Alligator mississippiensis: one gene and its partners. Each later gene encodes a partner of the first gene's protein in a complex. Links are inferred from orthologs where the notes say so. Each region holds a gene or a part of one and is shown on either strand. Other genes may lie near its edges.

Region 1 (7,470 bases):
GAATATATTTAAAAACCAAATTACCTAATCCCTTCACTGAAGAAAAAAAAAAAGAAAGAAATAAGACAGATCTCTCTCTCTCTCCCTCTCAGCAAAGGAGTCATTCAGTAATGCTTGGTGCCACTAGGTCATTGGGGCACATGAATAACATTTGTCTTTTTTGCTACCCGATGAACATCTCAATTCCCATTGCTATACTTACTATAGTCCAGCTCTGGCCTACTGCCTTCTCTCTGTTGGTATGCTTTTTGCCACACAAGATGCAACTTCCCACCTGTAATGGGATAGCTTGATCCTACAGTTTTGTTCAATTGCTCACCATTAATCAATAGCCACCCTCAATACCAGCTCTCATTTCACTATGCTCTGACCACAGGGAGTGAAGCATAGATCTGTGGCGAAGAGTCCTATATTTTTAAGAAGACCAAAGTAAAGACCAAGCCTGTTGCATTAAATTTAGGGATGCACTGCAAAGTTTTCTTTGGCCAATACCAATGGCCAATTATTAATCAGCCATATCAGCCGATAAGGATCCAACTGCCGATATGCAGCCTGGCAGCTTGGAGAGCAGGACCAGTAAGTCTGTGGGGGAAGGAGCATGGAGGGTGCAGATCAAGGTCCCACAGCGAAGGAAGGAGTGGGACCGGGGCAGAGGCACGGGCAAGCGCGGAACGGAGCCGCCTGCCTCCATGCCCCCTGTGCACTGTCCCACCTCAGCTGGGCAATGCCTACCTCTGACCCTGCCCCAGCTCCTACCCCATTCCCTGTCTCATTGTGGGGGCCTCAATCTGCCAGCCCTCGATTCTACACAGCCCCCACTTTTTGGCACTCCAGAATTTGACACTGATGCCAGCAGGACATATAGACCATAAGAATTGAGCTTTATTGTCATGCTACCTCCCCATCTGCTGGGACTCAAGGATGCAAGTTCACCAAGACTGGACCTTTATCGCCCTCACTCTGAGGTGTCCTGGAGAGAGCAAGCCAGGGACCAGACCAAGGACTCTACAATCTTTCAGGACTGTGACTTGCTTTCCTGCTGCTAGGCACAATGCTGTGTACCCTTTCCTTTTTTTTTTGTCTTCTTTTTAGTAAGTATGGCCTTGCCAGCCAAAACTGTCTCTCTGAAACACTGTTGTGACCTCAAAACCAGAGACAACTAAAAGCAGTCTATGAGTACCAAATAGCTTGGTACTCATACAAATTTGCCTAGCCCTCAAGTGGCTGATAAACCATAAGCTGTGTCTGTCAGTTACTAGCAGCAAAACTGCAAGTAAGGCAAAATGCACTTTCTGGTGCTAGCTATCTTTGCTGCTCTACTCTTTCCCTTTTTGCTTATGTCTTGCTCATCTTTAAAGAAGCAGGCTCAGACTCCAACAGATTCAGTCCAGCACAACTTAAGCTTCTCTTTTCCCCTAAGAAGAGTAGTTAATACTATATTCAATATAATCTAAAAGACTGTCAAACCAGAGGCGGGAAGAGTTCCTTTAAAAAAAAACACCTGTCTCTGAAGATCAAGGAGACTTCCTGGGTTACTGAGTCCAGTTCCCTGCTTTTGCAGGCAATAATTCTATTAAAAAGCTACTTTAAACCCTCAGATCAACTACAGGGTACAATATGTGCAATGCTAAGAATACCCTATAACCTATTGTAAGTAAAAGCAGAGGAGACTAGGGTTCTCCCCAGACCTTGCCACAAAGATATAAAAGTGATTAGTTAATGTAGGCTGAGAGGATCCTTGGAATCAAGCTCTAAGCTACAGAAGGCACACCACACACATATATGCATAGAGATGCATGAACACACTCTGTCCCAATCTGACCTAAGGGAAAAACTGCTTTCTGAGTCTAAATTAGGAGATCAATATACATCTGAGCAAAAGAATAAAACTCTGTGGCTTTTTTTAAATAACAACAGAAGCATCAGTGCACCTGACTCAAACCCGCACCTCAGCTGTAGCCAACGTTCCAGTGTTCAGATAAATGCAAGGAAAACAAAAATGAAGCCAAGAGCATTTACAAGGAGAATGGGGGGTGAGAACTTTCCTGGCTGAACTGGCAATTAGCAAAACCCACGAAATGCACCTGCCACACTGCAAAAAGAGGCATTTCAACATGGGCACTGCAAACACAAGTCACACCAACTGATTGAGTCACAACTCCCTATCCTATTATGTCAACCATCCATAAAGTTTTCCAGCTCAATCTTGAAGGGATTCAAGTACTTTTCCCCCAATCATCACTGCCTGCTTACAGATGTAAAAAACAAAAAGACCCCCCAAAACAGCACTTCAAATTCACAGCGCCCCTGCACTGAGCACAGCACATGCTCAGAAGAGGCATTGCATTAGTTTGCCCCAGATTGCCCAATGTCTGTATAAATTGGGCACTCTGGTGGGTTTTTTTCTGGTGCTTTTATCTACTAGCTGATTGAATCCTTCTAGCTGTTAGATAAAAGTGCCGAAAAGCCCTGCTGAAGTGCACAATCCATACAGGTGCTACAGAGCCAGATTGAACTAACACGCTGCTTCTTCACATAAAGCACTGGGTTTTTATTCACGTCTCAGCAGCCACTTTGCTTGGAAAGCTGTTTCTAAACATGACTTAAGTCATTTCTCTGCTTGTTTGTTTTAATGACAAAGGATAAATATATTCTTTATTCTCTCTCTCTCCCCCCTCCCATCCATCCTTCTCATCTACTGAGAAACAAGGTCTTCAGACAAGATTTACATGACACAGAGAGAGAATTTGAAGACCAGCTCACAAGTATGCCTCTGTTGTGATACTCTACACACTTCTAGGGACACTGCATCAATTTTCTCCCTTGAAAAATTATTCTATTGCTTAAATCACCTTTGCTATTAGAAAGTGTTTCCCCACCTCTTAAAAAACAAATCCCTTTTCTGTAGCCTAAGGTGTTCCATTCATTCTTATAAGCACCTACTCTACTGTTCATCTGCTGCTGCCATGCGCATAACATATTTCATTTCATTTTCAGGTGTTCCTCCCTAGTAAATAACCCGGGTCTGCTCCTGCTTTTCAGTTTCATGAAAACGGAATTGACCTGATTGTTTTCAGTTTCACTGCTGCCCACTCAGAAAACCAGGACACTGGAAGACTGCAAGGCAACTGTCAAGATTTTGGTCACTTTTACTCTGCTGAAGCTTGTGAGCACTGCCTTTACTCAGAGCAAAGGCAGTGGGGTTGTGACTCACTGGCAGGCAGAAAGAAAGCACTGCATCTGCTTAATGCTGGCTTGTTTGGAAGGAAAATTTAGGCTTTAGGTTTTAAGGAGCCATGTGAGGACCCCTTAGCCAGCTCTGAACTCAGCTGGAAGAGTCCCGCACGCTCCCTTTGGGTAGAAACTTTCCGACAGCTGCCCAGAGCTTCTGCAAAGCACAAACTTTTTCTTAAACACATGTGCCACAAGCAGCCATACACCACATGGGCCACAGCAGGAGGACCCCCAAACTGTACTGCACAAGTAAGTAATCCCCACCTTGCTACACCATGTGTGTGGGCAGCTCCCCCACGGATTGTGCACCCCGCTGCGGGCTCCCTGCTACACTGACTGCCAGCTGCACCGCCTGCCCCCTGGGATGTGCAGGCTGCAAAAGCCAGAGGGCGACAGGAAGCCCAGAGCCAGGAGCTGTGCAGGGAACGGTGACAGGGTGGGAGCCTGGGGGGGCTGCAGCTTAACCCATCACCGGCTTCATGGTTTAAAATAACAAAGGACTTTTCTCACAATAAATCAGCGGGGGCCAACCACTCTGCTAGGCAGGCCTCAAATTAGCTCTGTGGTCTCCCCAAGTACCACTCCCCTCCCCCCGTCTGACCTACTGCTCCGCTTTCTGCTCCCTGCCCAACCTGTCACACGCCACTCAGGCGGCGCAGGGCGGCCATCCCCACACGAAGCCAGGCCGCCCCACTTCACCCGGCAGCTCACGCTCCGCAGAAGCGACCGGCAACCGCAGACCCTCGCGCTCCACGGAGGTGAGCGGGAGTTTCCCGCGGGAGTCCAGAGCCGCCAAGGGCTCCGCGCGACATCTTCGAGGCGGCACTGAACTCCGAGGGGACGCTCCCACCCAAAGGCGCGGCGGCGCTCACCGCTCCAGACGCGAGTCCCCTCAGATGACGATGACGACAACGAAGCCTCTCAGCTTTGCCTCTTTTGTGCCTGCGAAAAAAATAACAGAGCTGCTTTTCTGCCTCGGGTGCCAGAGTCCTGTGGGACACCCGCCCTGGCAGCCCCGTCTGCACCACTGAGGGGGAGCCCAACGCACCCCGGGGTGCCACGAAGGCCCTCAACTGTTGCCTGCGGGGCCTGGCCGGGGGGCAGTGGCGGGGGCTGGGGAAGGGGCTACGACCCTCCCTTCCCTTCCCTTCCCTTCCCTCCCCCAGCACCCACCTGCGGCCCGGCCCAGGCCCGCGCCCGCGCCGGCAGGCCCCGCCTCGTCCGCTCACGTGACACCGCTCACGTGACGGGAGGCCCGGCCCGGCTCGGCCCGGCCGCGGAGGCCGCTGCGAGCGGTGAGTGCGGGACGGGTGACGGTTGGAGGCGGTTGGGGGGTCAGGGCACGGCGGTTGGTGGGGGCGGGGCTACACCGGGGCGGGCGAGGAAAGGTCTTGGCCCCAAATTGGGCTGCCCCAGGACGAGCTGCCCTGGGGGTCGCTGCTCCCTGGGGGGGGACCGGGCATGTGGCGGGCGGGCGGGCGGGGAAGGTCTTCTGACTGAGACACGCGTGTGTGTGAAGCGCCTCCCCGAACAGGCTGTCGCCCGAAAAGGCGCGTGTCCCAGGCCTCTTGCCCCTTTCACGGGGCCGGGCAGCGGGGCTTGTGAATTGGGACCTGCCCGTGCAAACTGGAGCAGGCGTGGTCTGTGCCAACTGTGAACTCGGAAGAAACATTTTAGGAACTGACTGAAAATACAACCCTGGATGGAGTGAGACCGGCGGCGGGCAAAACGCAGGCTGGATGTGGAGGGACTTTGGTGCTGTTGGGCCCGTGGCGCGTGTCCCGCCACCCCGGGGCGTGCAGTGTGGCTGGCGTGGCTCCTTCTGGTTACTGCCACCAGCCGCAGGGAGACGGGCAGGGACCAGTGTGCGCAGCCCCGACCCCAGCCCACCCCGCACCCTCTGTGCACCTGCGCCGGCCGGAGCAGACCAGCCAGGACCCATGCGTGCAGCTCCAGCTCGCCTGCCCGCCCGCCCACGAAGAGCAGCAGTGGCGGCCTGGTGCTGGGCACCAGGTGTGGGTCCAGGCGGCCGCAGCAAGACGGTCCCGGCAGCAGAGAGTGGGGGGCGGCTGCTTTTCCCCCATCCTCAGTAGCCGCTTCTGCGGGGATGCTGCTGTCCATCATAGGTGGGCCGGTCTGGAGCAGGTGTGGGGTGGGCCGGGGCTGTGCACATTTGTGAGCTGGCCTGGAGCTGGTCCGCTCTGGCTGGGACGGGGCCGGGAACGGGGCTGTGCGCTTGGTTTCTGGCTGGTTTGGAGCAGGTCCGCTCCAGCCAGGGTGAGTTCAGAGCAGGCGTGGGGTGGGCTGGGGCCAGGACTGTGCTTAGCAGCTAGCAGACACTGTTGGTGGTGGCAGTGGCAGGGAGGAACTGCAGGGCCCATGGACTCTGGCTTTGGTGAGCTGTTGGGGGTGGGTGCTGACCAGCCTCCAACAGCTCCTCAAAACTGCCTATGCGGCCTGTGGGTCCAAATAATTGCCCACCCCAAGCTAAACTGTTCTCGGTGATGGCAGATGACAGAACAAGGAGCAATGGTCTCAAGTTGCAGCAAGGGCAGTTTAGGTTAGATATAAGGAAAAACTTTCGTGCCGGAAAGGTAGTACGGCACTGGAACAGGTTACCCAGAGACATGCTGGACTTTCCACCCTTGGAGGTTTTTAAGACCTGGCTTGACAAAGCCTTGGTTGGGATGATATAGTTGGATGGTCCTGCTTTGAACAGAGGGTTGGGTCAAGGGTCCCAAACTTTTTAGATTGAGGACTGGCAAACTGCGGACTGGAAGTCGCCGCAGACCGGCAGCCAACCCTTTTTTATGCTGAATCCGCCACATGCCGGTCACTTCCAGTCCGCAGTCACTTCCAGTGACACCGTGCAGGGCCCCACGGCAAGAACTTCTAACCGGAACAACCGTAAAGACACTTGCACCCAGCGGGCGGGAGGGAGGGAGCAAACCTCAAACGCAGCAGCCACTGCCGCAAGATAGGATGGGCCAGCCCTCCTGCATACCAGCATCCAACCCTTTGCGGCCCAGCACCGGGTCATGGCCTGGGGCTTGAAAACCCCTGGACTAGATGACCTCCTGAGGTCCCTGCCAACCCTAATTTTCTATGATTCTGTGAAAAGCTCAAGTTTCTCCAGCCAGTTAGTCTTAAAGGTGCCACCCTGCTCTGCCTTCTGCCTGACTTCAGACTACCACTCCCACAGCTGACTTTCTGGAAAGAAAGAAAAGTGGAAGTGACTTTGTGTATTTCCCATTGACTGAGCTGAGAGACAAATGAAGGGAAAACAAATGAGTTAGGGCTGAATTTGGTAATGCCTGTATTTTTATTTTGGCAAAGTACTTAGTCATGTTAGTCTGAAGTCAGGCAGAACACAAGGTAGACTTGTACCATATAGAATAGCTATTCAAATATGCTGTGTAGCATCTGAAAAAGTGAGCTGTTGCTTATGAAGGCTTATGCATCTCTTTAAGGTGTAATTTTGTTCTTCCTTCTGCATTTTGATTTGTTATTCCTGAAATAATGCCAAAAAAATGTTATTTGAGCAGACGTTCTGCTCTATAATTTATTTAAAATTCTAGCAACAATTGCAGATTAGGTTTCCAGAGAGCTGGTTTTTGTTTCCAGCTCTGCCATAGATTTGCTGTGAGATCTCAGACAAGTCGTATAACCTCCCTGTGGCTCAGCTAATTTATCTGTACTATAGAATAATTGTGGTTACCCAGCGTGTTAATAAGGGTTGTACAGTAAATCATCTCTGTCAACTATGATGGAAAGAGATTGTGTCATGCTTTTTTTTGTTTTACTGGGTAAAATAAGATTTCTGATTTGAAGAGAGATTACTGACATGTTACCTTATCTATAATACGGAAGTTTGGGATAAACAGATACTGGTTTGGTAATAAACAAAGGGCCCTGAACTGCATTCAGTTTCCATACACTCCAAGTGTTTAACCACATTGACGAACTGTCATGGTGCACTATGAAAATAGTTTCTATGCTCATCCTTTACAGTTTCTAAACTCATCTTGTACAGTACCAACTTTGTAATGGTGTTCGGAATAGATAGACTCAACTTTATAAGCGTCTGAGACTATTTTGTCCTTTAGCAGTTGTTCTAAAATCTTTTGGTATTGGAAGTTGTGCAGCTGTTTCTCATAAGCTGATGATGCTAGCTAAGTGTTTTGTACACACTGAAAATAGACTACATCGTGTTTTATTTATAAGCCATCTACTCTG
Region 2 (8,089 bases), on another chromosome or scaffold:
GTGTTCTGGGCTGGGAGGTAGGTTATGGTGGGAAGGAGTGACCCCGTTTTGCATCAGTGTTAGTTGTTTGGGTGTCCTCAGTGGTGCAGATGTGTATTTATGAGCACCTGTGGCACCTTTTAAAATTTTGTTTTATTTCCTGACAAATATGACACATTGTTTAGTGTTGTGTGATCCCACTATTATGGAAGCATGTACTGAGAAATACTATGCATTAAAGGGAAATGCTACCTATCCAAAACTGATTAGGGAACAGAACTAGGAAGAGCTCCCCATTTATTGTAAGCCATTCTTATGTCTGTTACCGTATGGGGAAAATTAGTGTTGGGCCTGAATCAAAGCCTGAGGTCCAAACATCCCTGACTATCAGGCTAGTTCAGTTCCAAACCTCAGATCTGAAGAAATTTCAAATTGCAGGGAATTCTGCAGTTAAAGCTGATCTGTTTTCTGGCTTTGGCCTGACCCTGTGCAAAGGTGAGAATCAGCTTGTTACAATTTGGCAAGTGGTATTCAACAGATCAGGAGAAACTTGAGTCACCTCCAAAAAATACATGTACCTGCACACACCCAAAGTTCTGCTTACCTTCCTTTTCCACACCTTCTTTTCAGTTGCTGGAGTTCTCTTATTAAAACTTGGTGCAACGTATAACAATAGCACTTGGCACTTTTCAGGCTGAAGATCTCATAGGATACAAGAAAGTAGGACTGAAAGGGAATTTAGTCCAGTACCCTGCTCAAGGAAAATTGTCCCTAACTAAACCATCCCAGCCAAGTGTTGGTGCAATCTACGCTTGAAAATTTCCAAAGATGGAGATTCTTCATGGTCAGAACTCAAAGGTTGATCAATATTATTCATATTTTTCAGCTGAGAAAACAGAAGTATGTATTACTTGCTGAATGTGGCTGTGTTTGCTAAGGGACATTGCAGCACCAGAAAGAACAAATTAAACAAGGTGCTCAGCTATTTGATATTTTTTACCTAGGAAAAAACTTCCTAGATTAAGGGTACAGTTTCACAAAAATGAAAAATTGTCCAAATGAATTGCAAGTGTTGTTTTTTAAACATGAGTTTATGTCTATGATAGAAGTATAAATGAATGATGGATTTCTGTATAGATATCAGTAGTGAGTCAAGCTTACAGGGGGAAAAAGCCCAGTCTATTGTAAGTACTCTGGACTCTGTGAAAGTGTTTAAATATTACTGTAATGGAGACTCCAGCAGACAGACTAAGACCTGTAGATAATTATATAGCGAGAGCTTTGAAAGTACTGAAAAAGCATGGGGAAATCTAAGTGCCCCTTTAGCTTCTCCAGATCAGCCACTTGCGCCCAGTTAGGCTTCTGTTTCTGACAAGCCACAGCAGGCAAAGCATAAGGACAGCCAACTTGGAGAATCAGGCCAAACATCTGGTTTTGTTAAACAGGTTAAGGGCACTCTGCCACTAGCAGTGAGATGGCTGAAAAAGCATGTCACAATGCACTGTGTTAGGTGCTATTTACAGCTCCCCAAATTACAAATAGTAGGCCTGCTCTTCTTGTGTCCTGTGGGTGTCATCTTGTGCAGTAGCTGACTGAACGCCAGCCCAGACATACTCTCTAGCCTACAGACAATGCCCTTTCAGGGATGTGATGCATGGTTTGGCAAATTAGCTAGACCTACCTCCTTGCACTCTAGAAAAAGTAGGCCCTGTTGATTGCACAGGGAGAGGGAGCTCTCTATATCTTACCTATTTTATGAAACAATGGGCAGTACTATGCCCTTAATCAGGGAAAAGAACAATATACTATCCAATTTTTATTTTGTTTACTCAAATTTGCCAATGCGGAGTACTGGCAGGAAGAATGAAGCCTGTAGCTGGATTAATCAGCTCTCTGTACCAGTTTATGTAACTGGGTCCTGTCCTCAGGAGCATTAAACAGTCAAAGAAAATTGTTCTGGAGAGATATGGATTTTTATCCATTGTTTCACTGGCTGAGAGTGATGCCACTCTATCTGCTGACAAATTGTGTGGGTAGAGAGATGAAGTAAGACAGATGTGAGCCCTGTCAGCTTGCTTTTTTAGCTGAATTAAATGCTGGTAAAACAGCTGCTTTTCTCATTTGCCTCAAGATTTTTTTAATGGCCCAGTCCAAACATATCTTCCAGTTCCCTGAGCCTTGTCTCCAGGGGGTAGGTTTTTGATACATAATCAGTAGTGGAGATAAATATATTATTACTTCCTACCTGCCACCAGTGTTTTACTGGGATTATGCCAATCCTGCTACCAGTTCTTAGTAGACCCCAGTCTTACTGCTCTCTTGCCCCCCCCCCCCCCCCCCCCCCCCGGGCATACTGGGGTTCTCAGTCTTCATTTTATCAGCCCAATTCTGTTAATTCTTTCTCTGCCATCTGCCTGCAGCAGGTCTGTTACTACCTTTCTTCTCTCATTCTCTGTGGGGCTGCCCCAACCCAGCACCCACCTCCTCTCTCTTTGCTTTGAATTTCCAGAGTGTATTGAATTGAATTTTTATCTGAGTAATTGTAAAGCACTTGAAGGGCTTTCCATCAGCAGTATATAAATAAAAATGGATCAGAATAGATTGGATTGCTGCTTCTACATCCGCTCCCCTATTCTGTTTCTGACAGGTCTTGACACCCACACACATGCTCCTTGCTCAGATTCTGCTAGGTCTTATTGCTTTCCTTCTCTGCATAGTTTCTGGCAGACTTTTACATTTCTCATAACTTCTTCGTCTCCGAGATTTTCACCCAGTCTCACCCTGTGCCCTATCTCCTTGTCCTTTCAGTACCCTTTAAGCTCTACACAGGTCAGTGGCCTGGTCCCCTCATTAAGACTTCACAGGCACCAGCACTGCACTTAACCTCTCGTGGGCTCATGAAATGTTAGGCTGCTGGCTGCTAATTTGCTTTGCAATTTCATCATATTTAATAATGCTCTCTGCCTTAGCCTGCAACAAATGTTCATGACAATGGTTCCTACCGCAAATGAGTGGAACAGTGTGAAAAATGTGCAGTAAGTAATTTATGTAATGAATTTAGCCTTTTCCCTGTGAATATGCATGAGCAGATCATGATTTCCTTAAATATATTCACAATTTGAAATTATTTGAGTAATCCGTGTGTGTGGGGGGGGGGGTGTTGCTTTCTGTGCATTGGCTTTAAATCTATGCATCAACCATTCTTGGTAGTACTTAATCTTTGCTATTCAAATAGCACTGATTAAGTTGTAACCAGTTAGATAAGACGCATGGAATTGTTTCTGATCCTAGATGTGCATGCAGACACCTCTGGCAGGATGACTTGCACATGGACCCTCAAACTTCATTATGATTAATATTTGCACATACCGCTTTGAGATTCAGTTTTCAAGAATGTTTGTGCCAGCAAACACTGTTTGCTCAGATAGGTTTCCTTTCTGTGTCTATGTGAAAAGGGAGCAAGCATAACCAATGAAAACTCATTAAAATATTTGAACAAATGTTCATCACTTTTAAAAGGCAGTATAATATCACCCAGGTCCATTGGTGGGAGATGAGGCAAAGGCACAAGCCAGATATTCCTTCTTTCTCATCTTTCCCCAAAGCTGAGACAGAGAGAAGCAGAAAGGCATCCAGAAGCAAGGTTGGCAATGTAAACACAAAGGATGGCTATAGGCATGATGACCATATTATTTTAAAGAAAACCAAGTGAAAGAGTGGCATGGTGTGCCAGGCAGGTTGCTGCTGTGCTGGAGCAAGATGGGCAAACTGGAGCAGTGCCCAGCCTGGCCTGCTCCCCTACCTCTAGCTGACCCCCTGCACCTCCAGATGCTGCTCAGGAGCCAAGCAGGGAACGTGTGGGCCGGGTGGTACCTGAGGCAGTCTGCACACCTTGCTCCTGCACAGTAGCAACAATGCCTGCCTACCTTCCTTCTGGACTGCACCGCATGCCCAAGCCTGCAGCAGCGCTGCTGACCTGGGTGGAGGAGGGAGGAAAGGGGTTCCAAAGTACAAGTTCACCCAGGGCACCCTTTTCCCTAAGGCTGGCTCTGCTGCTGTATACTCATGCTCAGTAGAGTCAGCAGAGAAAGAAGCAATCATGTTAGGTGGCCGATTCCAGGACTTTCGTTTCAATTTCACCAACCGGCTGGGATGCCAAGAGGACCTACAAAATACAGCACTGTCCCAGCCAAACTGGGATGTATGGCTACCCTAGTTATAAGGGACGTCCTGTCAAGGTAGAAGCTGTCAGCCTGAGGGTTGCAACCAGGCCAAGGGGACCGTGACCTCCTTCCCTTTCGTTACAGCTAAGCAGAAGGGTGTTACGATAGGGAAGCATGGGCAGGTGACTCTTCTCCACAACAAGAGCTCTGCCAGCAAAACTCCCGAGTTCTGGCTCAAAGCCAGTCTGCGGTGGCACAGCCTCTCTGCAGCACAGAGCGAGGCTTCCGCTGCCACCATGTAGATAGATACTCCTGGACTGGGTACCAGCTATTCCAGAGGTCACGGTGCAAAGCAGAGCTGCACTGTGTGCCATGAGCGTGCAGAGGTGCACAGGCAGTTTGGCAGAACTTTTGCCAGCAGTTGGTATGGCCACGGTGCACCTCGAGGCACGCATCAGCAGCATTCCCAAGTTGTGGAGGAAGGCAGCAGGTGGGACGCGCGGCTCTGGAGCACAGTGTGGTCCTCTCAGGCCCTTCAAGGTGTTAGCACTAGGAGCAGCCATAGCACTTGCTGCATGGGCTCAGTACAGTAAATATTGCCACAAAACCCATAAGACCCTTGCTCCCTGCAGGGGCCAGCTCGTGAATGCTGGCAACACTGCTGGGGGGGGGGGGGGAGGGGGGGCGATGCAGCTGCCCAGGGCAAAGAGCCCCAGCCTGCCCCATGCTCCCACTAGCAAGCTGCCCCCTCCCCTGGCAGAATAGCCCAGCAACCGCCAAGCCGCCGCGTTCCAAATCACGCCTGCGCACTGCGGGACGCTGCCTGCCTGTAGAGGAGGGAACCGTTCTAGAACGAAGCGGGACCTAGGCGCAAACGGAAGTGATGCCAAGTAGGGGCGGAAGTGATGCTTCATTGGGGCGGAAGTGAATGAACGCCGGAGGGGGTAGCTTCCCCGCCGGGTCCTGGGGCGAGCAGCGGGGGAGGGGGCGTGTCCCGCCCGTGGCAGGTGAGGCGCTGCGAGAGGAGGTGCGGCGCTGCGTTCCCCCGGGCGGCTGGGCCCCCTGCGCTGCGGGGGGCGCCCTGGCCCGGCCGCTGCCTGTTGCTGCCGCCGGTGTAAGACCCCGTGGCAGGATGAGCAGGTGTGCACACGTGTGCGCGTGTGCCCCCGCGTGCGCACACGCGCATGTCTGAGCACCCGTGGGTGCGTGTGTGCACGAGCATGTTTGTGGGTATGCGTGGGTGCGTGAGAACATGCACATGTGTGCGAGCATGCGTGGGTTCATGTGTGCACACGCCTGGGTGTGTGGTGGCGCGCATGCCTGTGGGCACTTGTGGGCATACGTCAGGCCCATGTACGGCTGCCCTGGCTCCTTGTTCACGCAGTCATCCTGTGCCCGTGCTCCTTCATGCCACGTAGGTTCATGAAGGGCCAGCTCTCAGGCTGCAGCAGTGACCTTCATGCTAGGAGACCAGTGCCCTGCTTCTGCCTGGGCAGGTGGCGTTGGCGCTCTGCGTCCTGGTCTCTCCCTCTGCAAGCGGGAGGGGTTGAGGGTCTCAGTGCCTGTGCCCCTTGCTCTGATGGAAGAGCGAGGGAGCGATGTGGCAGCAATACTGGGACACTGCAGCGAAGGGAGGATGCCTTCCAAGCTAGCAGGTCCAGGCGGTCTTCAAGGACAGGTGGATGATAACGCTGCCTCAGTGCCGCCTGGGCTCATGCCTGCCTCCAGGCTGGAAGGCTTTTCTTTACAACCCTTGAAACTAGAGTCTCATTCTAGGAAGGGGAGACATAGAGGTTGAGAATGCGAATCCGGTTAAGTGCCTCAGACTGACCCGGTGCCTGGCACCGCTGCATTCAGCAGGCTTTTGGCCTTCTCCCCAGAGCCATAGGCACTATCATCTCCTGCACAGTGATCACATTTCCTTGGGGATAGGGAACATTTTGAAGGGACTTTCCAGCACAAAAGGTGCCACAGAACTAAAACATTACCTCCCTGTTGGATCTGAGGCAAGCAAAGAGCTATGGACAGGGCACTAGGAGTGTATTTAACAAACTGTTTTAAGCTCTAACATGTCTTACATAGAATCAAAATGCCTTCTAGCTGTGATAGACTTGGCATATCTATGATTTCTTTGAGCCTTAGAGATGCCTGGTAATATGAAATAGTGCTAAGATTCATTCAGTGTAACCTGTTTGGTTGGATGACCAATTTTGAACATGCTTTGTTACATCCCATTTTTCATTCCTTAGAAATGAATTGTGAAGTCTACTGTTTTAAACCCTATAGTGGGTGCAATGCGGTGTCACAGCTTTGAGTTGGAGTTTGTGTGTGGGAAGTGAGGCTTTTGCGGAACCCCTGGAATGAGGAAAGCTGAAGGGTATTTGTATTGTGATTTGTGTATGTTCATCATAGTAGAGAAGGAAATCGATCTGAAACAGGTTGTCAGGAATGCAGTCTACCAAGGAAAAGCCCAGAAGGGTGGGAGGTAGAGAGGGACAAGGGAAGGGACTGCAGGCTGTGAGCTAGTTAAGTTGTCATTATCCAGAAAGTCAGATGCTAGTTTGCATTAGCATTGTGATGTATAATTTTCCAGAATAGTTATTCATCTGTATGTCAAGCAGTTGCTCCTAACCAGTCAGCTAATAGGAAGAATGCCACTAGATTATGCAAAACTTAACTTTTATTTCTGCATTGCATCAAAATAATTAATTCTTATTCAACACACACACACACACACACACACACACACGTTACAATACAAATTTTGATGTTAAATGTGCATTGTGCTTAAAGGACTATTTCAAACCATTGACTAAAATACACACTGCTCTTGTCACGGTTAGCTGTGGAGGGGCAATTATTTGTCAAATAAAAATGCATTGGTAATGTTTGTAAAATGAACACAAATGCTGTTGTGGTGAAATACATTTATTGTACTAAAATTCTCTGATGTTCAAAATGAAGAATGAGTCAGCCAACGGTGATAAAATTGCAGTGGTATTGAACCTGGCTGTGTATGCAGAGGGGCACTGCTGACCAGCATAATGAATACTGTAAAAAAAAAAAAAAAAAAAAAAGGGCTGTCGAGTCTTAGTACTAAGCACAGTCCATCATCTCCCTCCTCTCCACGTGCACAAACCTTTCGTGATGAGGTTTTATAAAGTGACTTAAATGCTGAGCACTTTTACAATGCTTGAGCCTTTCCTGGCAGAATAGTTGGTATGTTCAGTGCCGTTATCTCTCCTACAGCACTGCAATTGTTCTTCAAATAGTAAAACTTGTGTACTTTAAGGAAGAATAAGCTGGTTCTCCCAACCCATTTGTCTTTTTGCTGTACCAACCAAGGTTCCCATTGGCGCATGCTGTCATTGTGCTTCACATGATGTAAATGTTCCTCAGCTACAGGCTGGAGTGAGACCACAAGCCCCTAGGCAGACAAAGTTCTTTGGGTAAATCCAATATCTTTTATTAGCCCACTCAAATAGTTGGAAAAATTCTTCTTAGCAAGCTTTTAGGCACAAAAGCCCTTTGTCAGGTTGAGGAAGCGTCTGCCCCTTTCACTTAGACTGCCTGGCAGCCATCATTGGTAATGACTTGGAGTCTTGGTGAAAGTGTCTTGAAAAAAGGGAAACTGAGAGGCTCTGTATCTGTTTCAACTCCTTGAAACATTTGGTCTTCCAAGAGCGCAGGGATTGCTCTGGAACAGACTAGAAATCATTTCCTTGGCCCCCTGCAAGGTCTAGAAGCAAACTAACTTTGGTGTCTCCTTCAAGAAACTTACTGCATTGTCGTGTCCCTTTGCATGGATTTTGTTCTGGTATTACTAGCCTCTCATGCTCTGCTTCAGCTGTTGTGATTTGGAAAGGATGACCGGGGGTCTTTCAGTCTGCTTGATATGATATGTGTTTAATTATGTTTGGTCATTTCCTTCAACTTGTTTGGGAAGC
Region 3 (7,210 bases), on another chromosome or scaffold:
CATCATAGGCCTTAGTGAATCCATGCTGACTGTTCCTAATCACCTTCTTCTCCAAGTGCTTCGAGATGGATTCCTTGAGGATCTGCACCCTTGTGTGCCTCCCATCCAGCCCCATGGACTTGTACACATCCAGCTTTTCTAAACAGTCCCTAACCTGTTCTTTTGCCACTGTTGACTGCTCCCCTCCTCCCCAAACTGTGCTGCCCAATGCAGTAGTCTAAGAACTAACTTTGCCCATGAAGACTGAGGAAAAATAGGTATTGAGTATATCAGCATTTTGTGCATCCTCTGTCACAAGGTTCCTCCCCCATTCAGTAAGGGACCCACACTTTCCCTGATCCTTCTCTTGCTATCAACATACTTGTCAAAACCCTTCTTGTCACCCTTCATATCCCTTGCTAACTTCAATTTCAATTGCACTTTGGCCAGTGGCGTACCGTGGGTCTCCTGCACCCGGGGGCCAATTCTTACATTTGCACCCCCTCCCTCCCCAGTCCACGGCCAATCACCGAGTGAGGAGGGGGATCCCCCAGGGGTCAATCACCAAGCCTGGAAACCGGAAGTGCCGGTGCGGGGCCAAGTTGCCTCGACCCCCACCCAGCCAGCACCCAAGGACATGCCCCGCCCCCCGTCAGTACACCACTGGCTTTTCTCTTCCTGACTTCATCCCTGCATGCCCAAGCAATGCTTTTATATTCTTCACTAGTTATTTGTCCAAGTCTCCACTTCTTAGAAGCTTCCTTTTTGTGATTTAGTTTACTGAAGAGTACCCTCCTAAGCCAAGCTGGTCTGTCATACTTGCTAGTCTTCCTGTACATCAGGATGGTTTGTTCCTGCACTCTCAGTAAGGCTTCTTTAGAGTGCAGCCTAGACTCCTCTTCCCCTCAGACTGGCTTCCCAGGGGATTCTGCCCAGGAGTTCCCTGAGCGAGTTGAAGATGCTTTTCTGAAGTCCAGAGTCCTTATTCTGCTGCTCTCCATCTTTCCTTTCTTCAGGACCCTGAACTCAATCATCTTGTGGTCACTGCTGCCCAAGTTGCCATCCACTACTACATTCCTTATCAATTCTTCCCTGTTCGTGAGCAGCGGGTCAAGAAGAGCACAGCCCTACTTGGCCGCTTCAGTACTTGCACCCGGAAGTTGACCCCAACACTCTCCAAAAACTTCCTAGAGTGCCTGTGCACTGCTGTATTGCCCTCCCAGCAGATGTCAGGGTGATTGAAGTCCCCCATGAGAACCAGGGCTTGTGATCAGGAAACTTCTGCTAGCTGTTTGAAGAAAGCCTCATCCACCACTTCTTCCTGGTCTGTTGGTCTATAGCAGACCCCCAACACAACATCACCCTTGTTGCTCTCTCCTCTTACCCTAACCCAGAGGCTTTCAACAGGCCTATCTCCAGTTTCATACTGGATCTGTGAAGAATCATATGGCTCTTTCACATACAGCGCAACTCCTGCTCCTCTTCTCCCCTGCCTGTCCTTCCTGAACAGTTTGTACCCATCCACAAGTATCTTACATATAAATTGACAAATGGGCCACAGAAAAAAAATCATTACATCTGTCAGTCAAAAGATATGAAAGACAAAGACTGAATCTGCCTTCGTGAAACACAGATCTGTGAAATGCCAAATATATCTGAGAAAAATAAACCACCACTACCATAGAATTGATTCTTGCCATGGAAGTCCAAAACATGAGAGCAGTAAAATTTTTGTAATTTTCCAGATTATATAGACTTTGCTGCAAATGGCTTGGGAAATGGACATCCTCTAATTTCAGGAAAGGAATGTTTTATTTTTCTGAGTCTTTGTACCAGGAATTGGTCATTAAATGTTCACAGAATATCTAGGTTTTCCAAGGTCAGAAAAGGTCATTGTGATAATTTCGTCTGAACTCCTGTATAACACAAACCAGAAAATTCCACCCGGTAAGCCCTGTATTGCTCGGGCTGAGTTCTACCAGATCTTCTTAAACTCTTCAGGTTGATGATTTCTTATGCAAAGTCATGACCCCCTTTAATTTATGATAAAAGTAAAAGTAAAAAGTATGTCAGTGAGAACAGTGAATTTATACAATTTATCTGGGCAAGGTTGTTTCAAATAAATTTGTTCAAGGGCAAGTGTGTAGGAAGTACAGGAGTGAGATTTTCTTTACATTAAGTTGCAGCATTTTTTTTTCCAAGACCTCATGGCCTATCTGACTTTCTTCAAGAGTTGTGACCACTGGTTGAGAAACCATAAGCTACAGCAGGGGTGTCAAACTCAACCTGTGCCACAGGCTGAATGTGGATCCATGGGACAAGTGGTGGATGTGGCAGGGCTGGAGGCAGCAGCAACACAACCAACAGTTGCAGAGGTGATGGGGCAAATGGCCCTTTGTGACAATTAAGGACAGTGCAAGTGGTGGTGACAGTGGACCAACTGACTGGGGGGCAGTGTCAGCACAGCCCTCCCTCACCCATATCCAACAGCGCCCCCAATTCTGTTGTAGGCCCTACTCCCCACTAACCACGTCCTCAAATACTCTGGCCTGTCTCTAGACAGATGGAACAGTTCTTTGGGCCAGACCTGTCCTGCAGGCTGGATGACTGACACTCCTGAATTAGAAAGACATCCCATCTTGATTTGAAACCTTTGTGATGGAAATTGTTCCAAACATTAATTAAACTTCACTTTTAAAAATGTGCACCTTATTTCCACTTCCAAGTTGTCTGGCTTTGACCTTCATCCTCCAGATCTTGTTACAACTTTGCTAAATTTAAGAGATGTCTGCTTTCAGACATCTCCTGCCTGATGACTACAATCAAGTCTCCTCTTAGCCTGATTTTGGATAAAACAGACCAAGCTTCTTGAGCCCTTTCTCCAAGGCAGTTCTCCAAGACATCAGAGCATTCTGACAATTCTTTCCTGAACTCTTCTTCTATTTTCAACCCTTTTAAAACGTGGAGACAGCAAAACTGGCCAGAACGTGCCAGTAACCATTACACTGACACTATACAGGAAGACAACACCACCTTTCTGCTACAGCTTAAAACTCCTCTGTTTAGGCATTCAAGGAATAGTGCATGAGGGTGTTCATTGCAGAACTACAGTGGGGGCTGGTGTTCACAAGTTATCTGAGCCCTTGAGCCCTGTCATTGCTCCTCAGGATGCAGCTCCACCCACGGGTGGATCTAGAATTTGGAACCGGGGTGAGCTGTGTCTTCACACATAAAGCAATACATATTTTCCACCAATTAAACTAGAAGCTTTACTAATGTGCTAGGAGCCCAGGGCTGCAGTATTCAGTTTAAGATTACAGTGAAAACAAATATAATTTCATTCAAATGAGTTAAAAACAATCTGCAGGGCTGTGAAATAGGAGCTTCCGGACAATGAGCAGATAACAGCAGAAGTGCAGAACAAAGGATTCAGAGATTCAGAGATGTTAGGGGCTGGAAGGGACCTCATGAGATCACCCGATCCAGCTCCCCCACACTTGGGCAGGAAGGCCTGCTGGGGTCATCACTTAACTGGTGGAACATCAAGACCATTAAAAAGAAGAAAGCAACCTTAACACTGGTGGCATGAAGAGTTTAGAAGGGTAGATTATGATGGGTATATGATGTATTTATTATTATTATTATTATTATTATTGAAAGGGTAAGTTATACCGAGCCACGAAGTCATTGACTCCCTCAGCGCTACCTGACTAGGCATGCTACTGCCACTGCCAAAAGGAATCAAAGGTCCTGGCAGAGGTGATATCTTTTGTTAGACCAACTAGATATTTGCACCAAAAAAAATTTTTTTTAATCTTTATTTGCAAGCTTTCAACACATTTGGGGTGGAGCAGGAATCAAAGGGGGTTGTAACGCACCCCCTGGATCTGCCTCTGCCCCCCTCCCCTCAGCCCTGCTGGCTTCACTGAAGCACCCCCTGGGGGAAAAGCGGGGGAATAAGAGGCAAGGGTTTGTTAAGGTGGCATCTTTTATTGAAACAACCAAATACCGCAAATCGAGTCGGAAAAACAAGCCCTGTCCTTAATCTCAGCCCCTTCAAGAGGTGGAGACACCGGAAGTGGACGCAGGTGGCTTTTAACCACGCCTGCTTGGAGGGGCGCCTGGGCGGAACTACCACTCCCATGATGCATTCCTCTAGCGGCTCCCTCCCGCGCATGCGCAGAGCAGGGTCGACCCAGTGGAGTCGGTTTTGCTTCCGGCAGGCGGAGGTCAGAGGCTGGAAGTCGTTTCTGGCCTCTGCCCCGGGGGATGGACGAGGACGGGCTGCCCCTGGTGGGCTCCGGCATCGACCTCACCAAGGTGCGGGCTCGAAACGCAAGTGTTCGTGGGCTGAAGCCCACTTCATCAGATGCTGCAGCGGGAGGTGCTCTTCTGCTCGAAACTGAGCAGGTTTCCCCATGTAGACTTTCGGGTGCAGACCATTTCAGGTGGCTGCGCCTGGGGTCCTCTGCGGGCAGGGCCTTGGTAGTCCGAAGGCAGGCAGGAGGCAGGGTAGATCAGGCACCTTGTAGGCTATGGGAAGCTCGTGCTGTAGCTGTCTGTGTGTTGTGGATAGCCTGTGAGGTGCCAGCGTACTCTGCCTTCTGCTCTCCTGCCTGAAAGACTAACCAAAGTGGGTGGACGGATGTGGAGATATCTGTGTGTATATCGCAAGCTTTTGTGGACTGAAGCTCACTTCATCAAAGCTGTGACAAGAGGTGCTCAAAGCTGAGCAGTGTAGATATTCGCAGGAGTTCAGGGCTGGAAGGGACCTGGTGACATCAGCGGGTGCAGCCCCTGCCCCGGGGAGTCCACCTGCTGTGCCTGGTGCCGTCTGTGAGCAGGGGAGTGTTGGTCTGCAGTCCAGGAGAAGGCAGGGTAGATCAGGCACCTTATAGACTAGCCAAAGTAGGTAGATAGAGATAGTACAAGCTATGAACTTCTACAGTTAAGAGGAGGATATTAACTGATCTGTTGATCTTGGAGTTCAAAGTGTAAGGGGCCGAACAAGGTGGTAGTTAAGAAATTCTCTTTAAAGAATCACTTTTGCAAAACATGCTTTCTCTTTCCCAAATGCCTCTTTTCTTTTCTACCTCTGAGCAGTTTTGGCACAAAAAGAGCTGTCAGCAGTAAGTCCTCTGCTGCAAAAGCAGAATGCAGCAGAATACTTCATCTATTAATACTTTCCATGTAAAATTTTACTGTTTAACAAAGTAGTATTTCTCAAGTCGGTGTAGCTTTTATTTAATTTCAGGGTTCCTTATGAACTGCGAAACAGAATGCAGAACAGTTCAGATTGATTGTGGGATCCAGTCATCTCCCAGGTGTTCCTGGGAGGTGTTAAACCCAAGAGAAATATAAATATTTGCTATCCAATTTTTTTGTGAAATTGCTTGGGTTGTGGGTAACACAATGCTAAACAGAACTACAAAAGTGGAGGAGTAACTGAATAGGTGATTCCTATATTTGTCTTACACTTTTCAACTTGTTAAATGTGGACTGCTTATGGAACCACCACTATTTTTGCAATAGTCTTAGATGAGATTGGGACATAATCATAGTATTTTGATTCAGCTTTGTGTTCATATTCTCTCATTTTTACCCAAAGGTTGAGACTTTACAATATTGTTTATATTGCAGTAGCATTTGCAGGTCCAAATCAAAGCCTTATTGTACCAGATGCTGTACATCTAAGAAAAACAGAAATTCAGTGCCTCAGAAACTTCCCATTTTGGGCCTAAGTAAACATTTGCATGAATAGTTAATCCTTCTCAAAATACATAGAACCAAATGGTTCACAAGGTTAGGTTTCTTAGCCCCCTGCGAAGTGGCTGGGATTATATACAGCTGCTGCAAACAGCAGCGTGGGACTGCTGCAGTACTCCAGCTGTGGGCCATGTCTTTTATTTGAAGGGGTACTGCTTCTCTCGTCATCTGCTTGGGACTGTTGATGAGGTCTAGCTGTGTGGAGAAGTGGCACCCTTTAATATAAAAGCTGCAGCAAGCAGCTGCACGTGTGTCCTTCACTTAGCCTTCTGACAGTCAAGTTGCTATCTGATGAAATGATGAGCTCTTGCTCACACAAGCTTATACAGTATAAACTCATAAATCCGACGTGCTTGGGGTTGAGCACTTGCTGGAAATTTGAAAACGCTGGATTTTTTTGAACTGGCGTGATAGCCGGTCGCGGAGCAGGGGCGAGGGTAGCGGCAGCTGGTCCCAGAGCAGCGGCCACACATGGAGCAGTGGCACACTGTGGTGAACGGCGGAAGCAGCCACCATCTACAGACTTCTCCCTCCATGTCCAGGAGGGTGGTGGGCAGTGCCAGATTTTTGATCATTCCAGATTTTTGGTATCCAGATTTATGAGCTTATACTGTACTTCTGTCATTCAGTTAGTTTATACAAGTGATTTTCAACCAGGTACCACAGCACCCTGGGGTGCCTTGAGATCCTTTCAAGGGTGCTGTGAGGTGCCACACAGCACTGCTAGGTGTGCAAGCATGCTTCACAGTATAAACCCAGAGATTTCGAACAGGAATCCATAGTATTAAAACAGTTCTGCCCTGCTGTGGTCTTTCAGAGTTCTTTGTAACAGTAGAATTGATCTACTGTTTTTCTGCATTGAAAAAATGAGTGAAAAATAAGAGATGGCATTTTCTGAAGGTGCCTTGTGTCTAACTAACAAAGTGCATCTCTACCCTGCCTTCTGCCTGAGTTCAAACTAACATGGCTAACAACTGCTTTCTATTCCCAATTGTAACTAGATACTAGTTTATGTAAATGTACTTAATTTCCCCAGTACTAAGACCCAAAGGGAGAGACCCTGATCCACTTCCTTTTAGAGTTAGATTTTTATTTTACTGTGTTTTACGATGACTTTCAGAAAATTGCTTTTAGGTTAAAACATTCTCTTTTGTGATGAAAACCTCTTTGTTTATTCAGGTGGTATTCCCTTGTCTCTACACTCACACTTAGAAGATTAAAATATTGATTGATTTTTTTTTTTTCATGTTCCTATATTCATGGTATAGTTAGGACAAATGATTAAAATATTTTCTTAGCCTCTTTCATATAAACTTCAAAATCGGGTCTTGAATACAAGGGTAAGAATTGGAAATGCATGTTTTCTGCGTGTAAACTTTGGGGTTTTTTTTGTTTTGTGTAACATAGGTTCCAGCTATTCAGCAGAAAAGAACTGTGGCATTTCTGAACCAGTTTGTGGTTCATA

Evidence for each region.
Region 2: WASHC5 (region 1) and WASHC1 share a complex: the UniProt entries of both Homo sapiens proteins name them as parts of the WASH core complex. The link is inferred for Alligator mississippiensis from reciprocal best matches to the Homo sapiens genes WASHC5 and WASHC1.
Region 3: WASHC5 (region 1) and WASHC3 share a complex: the UniProt entries of both Homo sapiens proteins name them as parts of the WASH core complex. The link is inferred for Alligator mississippiensis from reciprocal best matches to the Homo sapiens genes WASHC5 and WASHC3.

What each region holds. Positions count from the first base shown.
Region 1 is NC_081826.1:19,248,402-19,255,871, forward strand, and holds the start of WASHC5 (WASH complex subunit 5), read left to right. Parts: upstream 1-4,469; 5' UTR 4,470-4,529; intron 4,530-7,470. UniProt on the Homo sapiens protein: Acts as a component of the WASH core complex that functions as a nucleation-promoting factor (NPF) at the surface of endosomes, where it recruits and activates the Arp2/3 complex to induce actin polymerization, playing a key role in the fission of tubules that serve as transport intermediates during endosome sorting.
Region 2 is NC_081827.1:115,294,787-115,302,875, reverse strand, and holds the start of WASHC1 (WASH complex subunit 1), read left to right. Parts: upstream 1-5,043; 5' UTR 5,044-5,070; coding exon 5,071-5,149; intron 5,150-5,168; exon of another isoform or gene 5,169-5,282; intron 5,283-8,089. UniProt on the Homo sapiens protein: Acts as a component of the WASH core complex that functions as a nucleation-promoting factor (NPF) at the surface of endosomes, where it recruits and activates the Arp2/3 complex to induce actin polymerization, playing a key role in the fission of tubules that serve as transport intermediates during endosome sorting.
Region 3 is NC_081827.1:107,401,207-107,408,416, forward strand, and holds the start of WASHC3 (WASH complex subunit 3), read left to right. Parts: upstream 1-4,188; 5' UTR 4,189-4,248; coding exon 4,249-4,299; intron 4,300-7,152; coding exon 7,153-7,210. UniProt on the Homo sapiens protein: Acts as a component of the WASH core complex that functions as a nucleation-promoting factor (NPF) at the surface of endosomes, where it recruits and activates the Arp2/3 complex to induce actin polymerization, playing a key role in the fission of tubules that serve as transport intermediates during endosome sorting.